Linked DNA regions of Mytilus edulis. Each later gene encodes a partner of the first gene's protein in a complex. Links are inferred from orthologs where the notes say so. Each region holds a gene or a part of one and is shown in the gene's direction. Other genes may lie near its edges.

Region 1 (7,156 bases):
GAGACTTCCACGCAGTAGACACCAATTCTTCTTCTTCCTCTTTCTTCTTAAAAGATAGTTCCCAAAGTTGAGCCCTTGATGACAAAATGTTGTTGTTGCTTTGTGTTGCTGTTGTTGTAAGTCGTGTTGGATGACCATGACAACATATTGTTGTTAAAACAGCCATGTTTTCAGTCGAAAGCATGGTACCTGGTCAAACTAAGACTTTGATCACGTGACCACGCTAATTCATCATCATCGTTTTCATCATCATCATCATCAATAGGAGTTCTCAACTGAACACATGGTTGCAATACCTTGGTCTATAGCTGAACACATCAATTGGAGTCTTAAAAATAAACGATGGCAACGTCTACTTAGACCTGAAAGTAAACAAATGTACATGTAGTTGATTAAACCATTAACCCTAATAACGTTAAAACTTATGGATATCTTGCGTTCAATGACAAAACAGAATGCAATTGTGTAGAGTATAATAGTGTTTCATATTTTCAATCACGTTCAGTCTTCATTTCAATTACTTTAAACGTCTAAGACTACAAATCAAGAAACTTGGGGGTTGGAACAGGCAAAATGATGTTTTGAGATTTTTCAGGAATGTATTGTACTATTCTGATGCAGTCTGCACCAAAAACTTTTTCAACTACTAGTCCGAAGACCAATATTCCGACATTTTTCTTATTGGTCCAAACAAAGTTTTGCAAAAACTTACTAGTCTGAAAGAAACTTTACTAGTCTGGGGCATCGGATTAGTGGCTAACCGTGCAGACTGCAGTGATGAACCACTCGTCACATGATTGGGAGCATGTTTAAACCTGCCTTATTCTGCAAGTGCCTATGCAAAGTCAGGAGCCTATTATTTAGTGGTCCTCGTTTGTTGCGGTTACATATTTCATTTTCATTCATTATTTTTTACATAAATTGGGCCGTCAGTTTTATCTCATTTACATTAGTTATTTCGGGACCTTTTATAGTCGACTGTGATATGGGCTTAGCTCATTGTTGAAAGTCTGATGGTGACCATTGTTATTAAATTCTGTCATCTGGTCTGTTATGACGAATTGTTGTATCATTTTGTTCTCGTTCTTCACAGGACAAATGAATATATAACAAATGAAGGAAATGACACAAAATTGGCTGGATTTGCAGCTACTTCACTACTGAACCAAGTAGGTTTATAACGAAAGTGAATGTTGAAAATCTGTTCACTTGTTTGACAAGTTATGTTATCCACGTTCCATTGATATACACCTTTTCACTACATTCCCATCTGAAGTGTGTTGGCTTTGTTCACACAAAATATCGTGCCTCAAACTTTTCATTCAGAGGCATCATTTAACCGTTGTTTACCCTAACAAAACATTTTTATGGACTTAATTCATCTATTGACAAAATTTCATCCATGTAACAATAATGCCAAACTCGCACTATCATTTTCTGTTACTGATCAGATGACAGTGAAATTAAGGTCAAAACTAATTTGACATTAAAATCATATATTAATCATGTCATATGGTAGATGTGTAACCTCAGAAAAAACTACCTTGACCAAAAAATTGAGCAGGACGGACAGACAGATTCACAAACCGAACAAGTTAATGGTCCTAGGTTGGGCTTAAAATTCGTTCTTTTAACTAGCAAAATTTCAAATGGCCACTCTTTTCTCAGCTCATTGATGATGACTTTAGTTTTGTTCAACCATCTCATCAGCAATTTGTCTTGGTAACAATTCCCCCTGGAAAAGACTAATTAGCGAAAAGGTGTATTGATCTTTTGGAAATGGTCCAGATAGTTCACAGTGCATTTCTTTAGACAATATAGGAGAGAGGAGAAAAAAAATACCACCTGCACTTTCTCAATATAATTTATTTAGTTTGTACTACTACTTTTAAGACAAATTATATCAAAATTATAGAAATAGGCTCCAAACTGAAATATTGACAGCTTCTCAAGTTCTAATTTATAACCTTTTTCAGCAGGACCAAATTAAATCACTACTTATACAAGCTAATATAATTACCTTGCCCTCATCTTCCTCCTTTTACGCTTCAACCTCCTCATACGCTTCTTACGCCACTGAAAAAGAGAAGTCCAATGTAAACTTGATATAAAATTTTACCACTCATAACGAGATTCAATATGGCTGAACAAATTAGACGGAGGTTTACAAATGTAAATAGGATAATGTTAAGGAAATAAATACTCAAACATACATAGGTACATCATATCCTAGAAAAAATATGAAACGAAACAAACTATATCGTTGAAGGCCATTGGGCGACCCATAGTTAATAATTGCTATGTCATTTTGAATCCGGGTCCGTTTGCCCTGATTCATGTTCGCCCTAGTACCTGTTCGCCCTGATTATTATTTTTTTCTAATTGTTGTCTTGTCGCATTATTTTAAGTATTTGAACAAAATATGTTAAAGTTTGTTGAAAAATTGACAGAATATTAATATTGCCGCAATCAATTTATCATTTTCCCTTTGATTTGCAGAGTAGAATACTGGAATACAATGTATTTATCTTTATTGATATTTGTTAACAAAATCATTGTAATCAGTCAATCACGAAAGTATGCAGTATAAATTATTGTCATAATGAACTTGTAAATCCGTTTCATAATTTACAGTTCGTACATCATTGGTTTTATTAATTTCAAGCTGAATATTTTATTAAAATAAAACGTTTGTTTTTATTATTAATCCATCAAAAGACAAGTTTCACAATAATCAGTTATCCGAATTATTTTGTCATTGAACAATTAAAGATCATAAACAAACCATAAACTTTTAAATATTTCAATGTTTCCATAAATTTCAAGAATATACATGATATATATATACCATAGAAATATCTGAATAAGTTTATTCAACTTAAACTAAACTATACTAAATTTTAGCCCTGAATATTTTATTAATATTTTTATAGTAGGGCGAACGGACTCTGGGCGAACGAACCTAGGGCCAACATGTTATTAGGGCGAACGGTCCCGATACCTGTCATTTTGGTCTTTTGTGGAGAGTTTTCTCATTGGCATGGATTATTAACAAATTTTTGGAAAATAAGTGAAATTCCAAACGTTTCGAAGGGGAAAAATCTGTAGCTCTCATAGTAAATATATAACATTCAGACCTTTGGCTACATGTAAGGTTCCGAGGCCAATATGAAAGATGCTGGGTTTGGGAAGTTTTTTGGTACTTGCCACTCAAAATTGGTTCAGCAATAAGGTGGAAATCCAGTTACTTTTGAAACACGTGAAACAATTCAACTTTGAAAATTATATGGCTTTCTTTGAAAAGTTTTGGGGGAGGGGGTAGTCATAAATGCGCACTAAACGATGGTTCGTTGATTATGACCATTACCTGGCAGAAAAGGGGGGTCAATTTCTGGAATTGCTAGGCTATCTTAGTATTCAATTTAAGCACACGCATTGTAAATATGAATAATAAATATAATAGATATTGTTGAACAATTGGTTACTACAAGACACGAGATGTGTTGACAGACACCCACGGACTTCGGCTTCGCATGCTGCACCAGCAGTCCACATGGTCCAAGTTTTACGTTCAAAGACCTCAAATTAAAATTTATACATCACGAACAGTTTTGCCACATATCATTAGAACTCTGATATGCAGTATGTTGCAATTCACTAAGTGTCACAAATGAACTTTCTCCCCGCAACAAACAACATTCATCAATGGTCGGACGTAAATGCGTGTTATCCGACATGTTTATGTGCAAGACTAATTCGATAAAAAATATTAAGTTACATGCTTACCTTTGCTCTCATCTTGCTATATTATCTGAAAGAGATGAAAATACAACTGTAGAATAACAAATTAACAGAAGATGACAAAAAGTTAGAGTGATTCAAATGGATTTGTTTTTCGAAAATTTCATACGACCTACCAGCAACACGAAAGCGGAAGAAAGGACATAGCCTATGTTCAAAATGGGTTATTTAGCATTAGGAATAATCTATAAAATAAACATATAAATGATATCAATCACATGCAAATTCGAAACAATAAATATTTTTCTGAAATATAATATGCATCTACTTTTAGTTTATTTATTTGTTCATTTTATTTTTATAGAAAATTTAAAGACTATTGACTGGTACCTTCCAATCCTATACCTATCTTCCCTATGGTGTGTGAAGATGCGGACGGTTAACAGATTAAGCGAAAACCACTTTTAAAATGAATAGTTTACAGTCACAGTCTTCTCCTAAATCAGATGTTTCAGACAAACAGACACTATTAGCTGTTTTACAATTTCTAAAGAAAAACAACTTAAAGGTCGACCAATCTATATATCTTGATCAACTTCGTATATAATTAATTATGCCCGCTATTTCGCCCCTGTTAGTGGTAACTTGAAAATACTCTGAAGTCAGTTTCCCAAACCAATAGCCTAAATAGTCAATACAGGTCTAAACTAACAGTACATTACCTTTTATCCTAACTGAACTAAAACTTTTATTTTAAACAAACCACAACAAAAAAGATGAGCCATAGGCCTAAAGTATTGTGTAGTCAACTGTTCTCGTAGTAATCATTTCTCGATAGCAATGTGCATGGTTAAAATAAAAGTAGTACGCGAAATCGCTCATGTTTTCTATATTTGTTGGTATTTCAAGGACAGAATAAAACTTGCTTCAAGCAAGCATTAAATTCAACATTTCAAGTTTTCAGACATTTTACAACAAACAGGCTATTAATATTATTTGAACTTGGAATTATTTTTAATTATGGAATTTGCTTGATTTCGTGTTATTGAAATTTTTAATAAATTCCATGTTTAGTCTGTACTGAAATGTTCTGTGCTGCGCACAACACTTTCTATTTAACAAAGAAAATAGTATATTTTTAATAGAATGTACTGTGCTGCGCACAACACCATTGTATGGAAAGTGTTATCAAGGATTTGTATAGTACTATACAAATCCTTGGTGTTATTAACCGCTCAAAAGATCATAATACCAAATAAACATGGAATTTATAAAAAAATTTAAACACAAGAAATTATGCAAATTCCATAATTAAAAATAATTCCAAGTTCAAATAATAGCCTGTTTACAGTAAAAATAATATTTTCTGATTTTAGCCTACTTTTCCTTATTCCCTCAGTTCATAAATAGCATGTTTTCAAATGTAAACAAAACTTAGCTCGAAAAGAAGGTCAAGTCCACATACATACATGTAATACACAATTGTAAGATCAGGGATGATTCCACTATATAGTTCAGGGCCGCTGAGCGGCCCTTAAATTGGCCAGCGGCCCCCAAAAAATGTACATGAAAATGAATTCCCAATTCAGGAAAATAAAATAAAATCGATATTTCAGGAAAAGTTTCTGTCACCGATTAAGGCAACTATAATTTTTCATAGTTTGTTGTCAAAACGTTTTAAAATCCAGATAAGAATGCTGTTTACGGTCGCATCTTAGTAACAACGATTCAATTATGTCAACATGTGGGAAACAATTTAAACAGCCGAATACAATTAATTGATATGTTATGGTAGTATTGGATCTTGTAAAAGCAGATCGGCCAGCAGGTTGATAAAAATGGGTGTCAAAGCAGACCTCGGCAGAGAGCAAATTCAAATATAACATTGATGGATAAGGTTTAATGGACGCCGATCTCGTAAAAGCAGATTGCCCAGCAGAGCCAGTTATATAATATGATGAACACTTGTTTTGTAAAAGAAATTATTTCCTCAAAAGACAAAAGTTTGAGCGTTTTTTGAAAATAATGTTGATGATAGACCATTCATGAAATACGATGTCATCATTATTGAACTATTTCAAAAGTTTTGAAGATGATCCAAATAATTTTAAAGAACACTGGTTCAATGCTTTAGATATCTTATCAATCAAGTATATGAACCTTTGTAAAATTTTTGCTTTTCTGAATTCGACAATTGACCAGTTCAATTTGAAATCCATTTGAATTCAGGTAAATTTATAGAGATGACCTGCTGTTGAAAAAATACCTGATGAATGATTTTTTTCAATGGTTAATGTTAGCTGAAATATATGTTTTTATAATAGGCCTAAGTAACTATAGCTAAGATGATAGACTAGTGCATCATGTTCAATGATATTCATGTAATAACAGTAGCCCATCCAGAATTATTCAAAATGTTACAACTTACATGAACATCAGTGTACAGACATGACAGGTTAAACTTAATAATATACATTTTCCGTTTTTCAGAAAAATAATGTTATTTCGTCTTAGATTTTATGCTTAAAAAATTCCCAATTAGAATAAAAATTCCCAATTTGATGTTCAAGGGACCCATTTGAAAACACCTGGAATCATCCCTGAAGATATGGTGTGATGTCGCTATGACAATCTTAATATCTTTGTTTTGTTTATATTAGACCAGTTTATTGTTTACATGAATTAATAAGTTAAAATTAGAATAATATTAGTTTAAACATATTTATTTATAGGATTGGGAAACAAGTTATGGTAACTTATATTAATCCCTTTCCACTTTGCGGGTGCGAGTGCTGCCTTGTAGAGTATTAATTCCTGGTTCAAAACATTTGTGTAAACATTCCATGTAAATCAAAATTTTATTCATTGTCCATACATTGCAAACAAATAAACACAAGCTCTGGTAAGCTTTTAAAATTGACATTATAATACATTACACAGAAACAAAATGACATGCATTTAATAAATCACTTATTTTAGCATGTGTTCATTAATTATCCTGAATGTTGGAAGTTTGCTTTGAAGAAAGGTTTCTGAAAGATTTCTGAAAATTTCAAAATTTTTTGATCAGGGCATATATTGTACTAGTTGCGGAACCATAGCTCTTAGGTCCTTATGCTATTTTTTGACTATTTGGGGACCGTAGCTAATACTGTAGGTCATGTGAACCTTCAGTCCAAAGGTCAATATTAGGTTTTTACTGGTCTACCAGTCTGCATCGTTATCAAATAGTTCAATTTCCAAGACTAGTAAAACATTACAAACATTTACTATTGTAAGTGGTAAAAACCCTATATAAAAATAAGGAGATGTTGAACTGAGTTGTGCAAAGTTGTTCACTTTTATTGTTGTAGTGTACAGAAGAGTTGTTAAAGAAAGAGGCTGGGGTCACAGATGATGATGTTAAACCACAAAG
Region 2 (7,055 bases), on another chromosome or scaffold:
AGATCACACCAAACTTTACTGACTAACTCCTACTGATGAAAGTGTAAAATTAATCTTACGATAAAAATATTTAGTTGAATTGTTATGGAATATTTTAGACTTACGATAAATTTTACGCTTAATATTTTGGTGAAAAGGGCTACAGGGTCCCCTACAGGGTGTTATGTAATTCGTGTAATCCTATAACCGTTCAACGTCATCTTGTAAGAGCGTTTCGTATATCTTCGTTTTTTCTCTATTCTACATCTAGGCTCGCCTAGCCAATGTCCCTTAAAGTTTGTCCTTGTTGTGATCTAACCTCTGAGAGAAGGATACCAGATTACAATCCTTAGTTATCGATTATGTCTATTGCATTGCAGCATTTACTTTTAAAAGTACTCAATAAGAAAATACCAGACAGACAATTTTTTAAAAAAATAGTTTAATTGCATGCATAATTGTCCATTGATTATTATTCTATTGCTGTGATCCCATTATTTAATATATTTTTCTTGGCTTGCTAGTTTGAAGTATTTGGTTAACTCCATTTGATATGGTTATTTGATATGTTTTAGATTGTGGTTTTTTTTCCGTTTTGTCCTCACAATGACTGATATGGGTTTGTCGACTTTACTTACCGGTTTTCTGTTGATTTTTGGCTTTAAAAGGCAATGTGCTTTCGGGTTTCATATCTACAAAAAAACTGATCTAAGATCCTTATGTTGTCACGATTAATTCTATATTGATCTTTTTCGTTACGAAAATATAGTTAAATCTGTCCAGACTGAGATGAATCAAGTGTTTTTCGTTTGGTTAATTTTTGCAAAAAATATCGTTATAGTGGATCATCTTTCCAAGTGATTGAAGTCTCCACATAGCAGTATGTGAATTAATTCAAATACAAACAATTGTATTTAGTTGTATAACTTGTATTCCATAATTCTTATCAACCCTCGACTAAAATGTTGTCATCCATCTCTTTCTCAGTCAACGGAATGGCTAAACTAATATAGTCTCTGTGAGCAATTAATATACTCGATTATGAGTGTTCCCACGTTCAATGCTTTAGACTCCTACAATAATTTTGCATCAATGTCAATGCCTTCTTGTAATCTTCAACATACTTAAAGTTAAGAAGTATTATGTAGATGCAGATATCATGTAAAAGTGCTGTGTGCCGGTTTAAAAACCCAATGGATGTTTTTGGCAGCACATATCTTACTTATTGAGAGGTGGTTTTATATAGTAGTGTTTTCTTCTTCATGCAATTTTCATATAGTGATTTTTGACGTGTTTTAGCTCACCTAGCCGGAAGGGCCAAGTGAGCCTTTCTCATCACTTTGCGTCCGTCGTCGTCGTCGTCGTCGTCCGGCGACATCTGTTAACTTTTACAAAAATCTTCTCCTCTGAAACTACTAGGCCAAATTTTACCAAACTTAGCCACAATCATCATTGGAGTATCTAGTGTCCGGTGACCCGGTCAACAAACCAAGATGGCCGCCATGGCTAAAAATAGAACAAAGGGGTAAAATGTAGTTTTTGGCTTATAACTCTGAAACCAAAGCATTTAGAGCAAATCTGACATGAGTAAAATTGTTCATCAGGTGAAGATCTATCTGCACTGAAATTTTCAGATGAATTGGACAATGGGTTGTTGGGTTGCTGCCCATGAATTGGTAATTTTATGGAAATTTTGCCGTTTTCGGTTATTATCTTGAATACTATCATAGATAGAGATAAACTGTAAAGACCAATAATGTTCAGCAAAGTAAGATCTACAAATAAGTCAACATGACCAAAATGGTCAGTTGACCCCTTAAGGAGTTATTGCCCTTTATAGTCATTTTTTACCAATTTTCCGTAAATTTTGTAGTCTTTTACAAAAATCTTCTCCTCTAAAACTACTAGGCCAAATTTTACCAAACTTAGCCACAATCATGATTGGAGTATCTAGTTTAAAAATGTGTCCGGTGACCTGGCCAACCAACCAAGATGGCCGCCATGGCTAAAAATAGAACATAGGGGTAAAAAGTAGATTTTGGCTTATAACTCTGAAACCAAAGCATTTAGAGCAAATCTGACATGGTGTATAATTGTTCATTAGGTGAAGATCTATCTGCCCTGAAATTTTCAGATGAATTGGCAATGGGTTGTTGGGTTGCTGCCCCACAATTGGTAATTTTTAAAGAAATTTTGCTGTTTTAGGTTATTATCTTGAATATTAGTATAGATAGAGATAAACTGTCAACAGCAATAATGTTCAGCAAAGTAAGATCTACATATAAGTCAACATGACCTAAATGGTCAGTTGACCCCCTCAAAGAGTTATTGCCCTTTATAGTCATTTTTTAACAATTTTCATTAATTTTACAATTTTTTGTTAATTTTTACAAAATATTTTCATCTGTGTAACTAAAGGGCCAAGTTTATTATAGATAGAGAAAATTGTAAGTGGCAAGAATGTTCAGTAAAGTAAGATCTACAAACACATCACCATCATCAAAACACAATTTTGTCATGAATTTATCTGTGTCCATTGTTTAATATGCACATAGAACAAGGTAAGCGACACAGGCTCTTGAGAGCCTTTAGTTTTTGTAGCATTCATTTTTAACATAATTTCAACTGATTCGATTTCAACATTCAAATTTTCTTTATTTTTCTTTTCAAAATTCGCTTTTAACATTCTCTTTCAACATTCACCATCGTTTTCATCATTCAACTTTCAACATTCCGATCCCAATTCGTTTTCAACTATAATTTTATAATTTTTTGTTAATTTTTACAAAACATTTTCCTCTGTGTAACTCAAGGGCCAAGTTTATTATAGATAGAGAAAATTGTAAGTGGCAAGAATGTTCAGTAAAGTAAGATCTACAAACACATCACCATCATCAAAACACAATTTTGTCATGAATCCGTCTGTGCCGGTCCTTTGTTTAATACATGTATGCACATATAGACCAAGGTGAGCGACACAGGCTCTTAAGAGTCTCTAGTTTATTACTGTTTCTCATGTCTATCTCTAAAAATTGTTCTTTTTCTCTGATGATGGTCTCATGTTTTGTATAGCGTTTTTGTTTTACTCCTGTAATTTCTTACCATATAGAAGATGCATATATTATACTAGACATCCAAGAATAGCCTCACATCAACAGAGTAGTCAACATGTAAACATGTTTTTTAATGAGCCCAATATTGAATGACTTATTTAGAGTGCGTTATGGGTCTTATAGACCTTTTTAATTCCACGAAGTACGTGTAGATGTAGTTGACCGTCCGTCCGTCCGTCCGTCCGTCTCATAATGGGTATATAGCTATTCCGGATAACTCCTATTACAGTTGATCACAGTTGAAAACGAATTGGGATCGGAATGTTGAAAACGAATGTTGAAAGTTGAATGATGAAAACGATGGTGAATGTTGAAAGAGAATGTTAAAAGCGAATTTTGAAAAGAAAAATAAAGAAAATTTGAATGTTGAAATCGAATCAGTTGAAATTATGTTAAAAATGAATGCTACAAAAACTAAAGGCTCTCAAGAGCCTGTGTCGCTCACCTTGTTCTATGTGCATATTAAACAATGGACACAGATAAATTCATGACAAAATTGTGTTTTGGTGTTCATGATGTGTTTGTAGATCTTACTTTACTGAACATTCTTGCTACTTACAATTTTCTCTATCTATAATAAACTTGGCCCTTTAGTTACACAGAGGAAATAATTTTTGTATGTATGTTCTATATCTTCCTACTTGAGTTAGAAAACCACCATGGGTTATGGTGTAAAAAGGAAGACATTTAACACAATGTATCGGTACAGATTTAATGTGAGGATTTGCCTATCCAGTTTCCCAGCCTTGCCGTGACGGGTCATACTACCAGAAAGTTAACCATGCTTTCCCAAAACAATAAGTACAATGTAATAAAGCATACGAACACACCCATTCACTTTTCACGTCCGCTCTAATCGGCATGTTCCACTCAACAAATAAAATTTTATTAAGGGCGAAAATTATATGTGGCGATTAAACATTAACTTTATGTCCTCGCATTTTCTTGATGTTCTAAGCGATTGATTTTTTCTTATGAACATAGGCGACAGTTTCCGCGGCTGACTTTATTTGTTAACTCTCTAAAGACCGACAACGTGATGTTCCATGGCCTATTTGAACTGCACATAGTTTCCCTATGAATTTTTCCGACAAGAATAGTCTACCTTGTAAGAACTAACCAATTGTGTCGATTAAAATTCCCATGAAAAAATAAAAATGAGTGTGTTCGGTGCAATGCCAATAATTGGGTGAATTATTCCACCGCCTTAACACAACGAACACCACTTTTCAGTTGGTAGCGAATAGGAAATTGAAATAGTAGCTGAAGAGGGAAAAAATGGATCCAAATCAAGGGAATTTTGCCTCATATGGCACTGGCTTGACTCCTCAGCCTATGCAGTCGCCTATGCAGTCAATTCAGGTAAATTTTGGACCAATAATTTGCAATACAGTCGGTTAAAGAGCTCACCAGAGCTCATGTTTTCTCTGTTATAATGTATATATATGCCGACTCTAAATAAAATTTACTTACTTACTTACTTACTTAATACATCATATTACTGTTTGTTCGCCTTAATTTACAGGACATCACAGGGGTTCCTACAAAATTACAAGATATAATATTTTGACGCCACAAAGTGAAAGTGATTGTTGTATGATGTCAAAGCTTCAAGAGACACAGATTCCCAATAAACAATATAAGATCTATAATTTGCCAAATAATGCAAAGTCATTTAACCAATTAAGATTTGGCTTATGACTGACTACTAAAATAATGTTTACAAATGTACATGTATGCTACGTTGGTCCTTTTAGGAATTTTATTTATGACTTCATTATGAATGTATACGTAAACAAAGAAAGGCAATCAGCCAGTTATTTTTTTGACTCCAAGTATAATTTATATAATTGGTTTTTCTTTCTCAATCAAAAAGAGTCATTGTAGAAATCCACTCAAAAACATGTAAGGAAAAAGGTGAAGACACAAAAACAATGTTCAAAGTATCTGTAAAACCATGTCAAAACTATATCTCTTGGTTGAAACTACTGAAAAATTGTTACATTTATTTCAGAGTCCAATGATGTCACCAGCAATGAGTAATTTTGGTCTTGGTTCTACTCCAAATCCAGTGATGCCACCATCAAACACAGCTAGTTTGTATCCACCAACTCCTAATCCAGGAGGGCCAATGACACCTATATCACCAGCTACACCAGCATCAGAAGGCATGGGAACTATGCCTTTAAAACCTCAACTTCAGTAAGCTGCTTTACAATTAAGACATCATTAACTTTGGTTAACTTCTGTGAAGAGTAAAGTCTCATTTCTCATGAACAAATGGTGATAGATAAAATTGAGAGTGGAAATGGGGAATGTGTCAAAGAGACAACAACCCGACCAAATAAAAAACAACAGCAGCAGAGGGTCACCAACAGGTCTTCAATGTAGCTAATGATACATGTATCTACCCTCTTTCAAAGTACAATATGCACAACCAGATAATTTTGATATGTGAGACTTATTTTACTATCATTTTTATGTCTATTTCTTTATCTCAGAAATCCACACAATGTAATACATTTTATATTTCTACTGTAATACTTGTAAATCATGTGCAAAATGTATATTATATAGAGTGCAGGTTTATTCTCAAACATACTGTTTTCTTTCAGAAACATTGTCTGTACTGTAAATCTGGGCTGTAAACTCGATTTGAAAAAAATAGCTTTACATGCAAGAAATGCAGAATACAATCCTAAACGATTTGCCGCTGTAATTATGAGAATAAGAGATCCTAGGACTACAGCTTTAATTTTTAGCTCTGGAAAAATGGTGTGTACAGGTGCCAAAAGGTAAATAAATGTGTTGAGTAAATTTGTTTAAAGTATGCCTACATGTATTTCAATTTGTCAATATATATTAATATCATATTGGAACATTATGGAAAAATATCAAATTTATTTGTATCAGCTTTAGAAATAGGAAGAACATTTAGACTTGCTGAAAGTTGCTGAGCATTTCTCCTAGCAAATACAATTAATATATGTTTCTACCATGTATGACTGTGGTGTTAAGCAGGAAATGTACATGGCATAAGCACAAACCATAAAAAAGACACCAAAGCGAACTCTGACACAAAACAGTAACTTGTTAAATTGATCAGGATTAACATCTTTGTTTTTGGCAGAAACTAATTGTCCTATATGATATGTTGTAAAGACACTTAGAAGGCATGTTTAAGAATTAACATTGAACCAATGTTTCATCAAAAGTTGGTCAACTATGACCCCACTTAGCCACTGACTAAGACCTAAGATATGCATCTTATATTAGTCCTAATACTATCAGGGTTGTGTTCAATATCGTAGCAGCTACATAGATCTACATAGTGCTACATAGATTGTTGTCTACTGAACGAGTAGCTAGCCTAGCTGCTATCAATATCTATGTAGCAGCTAGGCTACACGTTCAATAGTCATAAATCTACATAGCCCTTAGTAGCTGCTACAATATTGAACACAACCCTGATCTACAATCATACAAATTGGTATATTAATGGATCTCATGGAGGATAAGTTGTCTCCCATCAGTTGTTTGTCATTTAGACATACATGTACATGTATGTGTTTCATTCTTCACTTCTTATCACAGAGTAAACTTTTATTTAGTAGGAATATCAAATGCTCTCTTAAAACTCAAAGGTACATTTTGTACATGTACAATGTATAAGAAAATCAACCTCTATTTATACTGTTTTATTTTGGGATAAAGAATCAACACTTTTTGTTGAATCGTTTACTTTATATATTAAAAAAAAGTGTTTTTTTAGAACTGATTGTGAATGACCTCATTTCATTTTTAATGTCAGATAACTGATTCATATGTGAAACATTTTGTGATGTATGTAGCGTGTTGTATTATTTATATTGTTTTGTTTTTCTTATACAGCGAAGATCAGGCAAAATTAGCAGCCAGAAAGTATGCAAGAATAGTACAGAAACTTGGATTTGCTGTAAGTGC

What was found. Proteins that work in one complex are often made in the same cells at the same time.
Region 2: transcription initiation factor TFIID subunit 5-like (region 1) and TATA-box-binding protein-like share a complex: the UniProt entries of both Caenorhabditis elegans proteins name them as parts of the TFIID basal transcription factor complex. The link is inferred for Mytilus edulis from reciprocal best matches to the Caenorhabditis elegans genes taf-5 and tbp-1.

The regions. Positions count from the first base shown.
Region 1 is NC_092357.1:14,766,155-14,773,310, reverse strand, and holds the start of transcription initiation factor TFIID subunit 5-like, read left to right. Parts: upstream 1-4,131; 5' UTR 4,132-4,210; coding exon 4,211-4,309; intron 4,310-7,094; coding exon 7,095-7,156. UniProt on the Caenorhabditis elegans protein: The TFIID basal transcription factor complex plays a major role in the initiation of RNA polymerase II (Pol II)-dependent transcription.
Region 2 is NC_092346.1:58,840,897-58,847,951, reverse strand, and holds the start of TATA-box-binding protein-like, read left to right. Parts: upstream 1-4,047; 5' UTR 4,048-4,370; coding exon 4,371-4,454; intron 4,455-5,106; coding exon 5,107-5,294; intron 5,295-5,707; coding exon 5,708-5,887; intron 5,888-6,983; coding exon 6,984-7,047; intron 7,048-7,055. UniProt on the Caenorhabditis elegans protein: The TFIID basal transcription factor complex plays a major role in the initiation of RNA polymerase II (Pol II)-dependent transcription.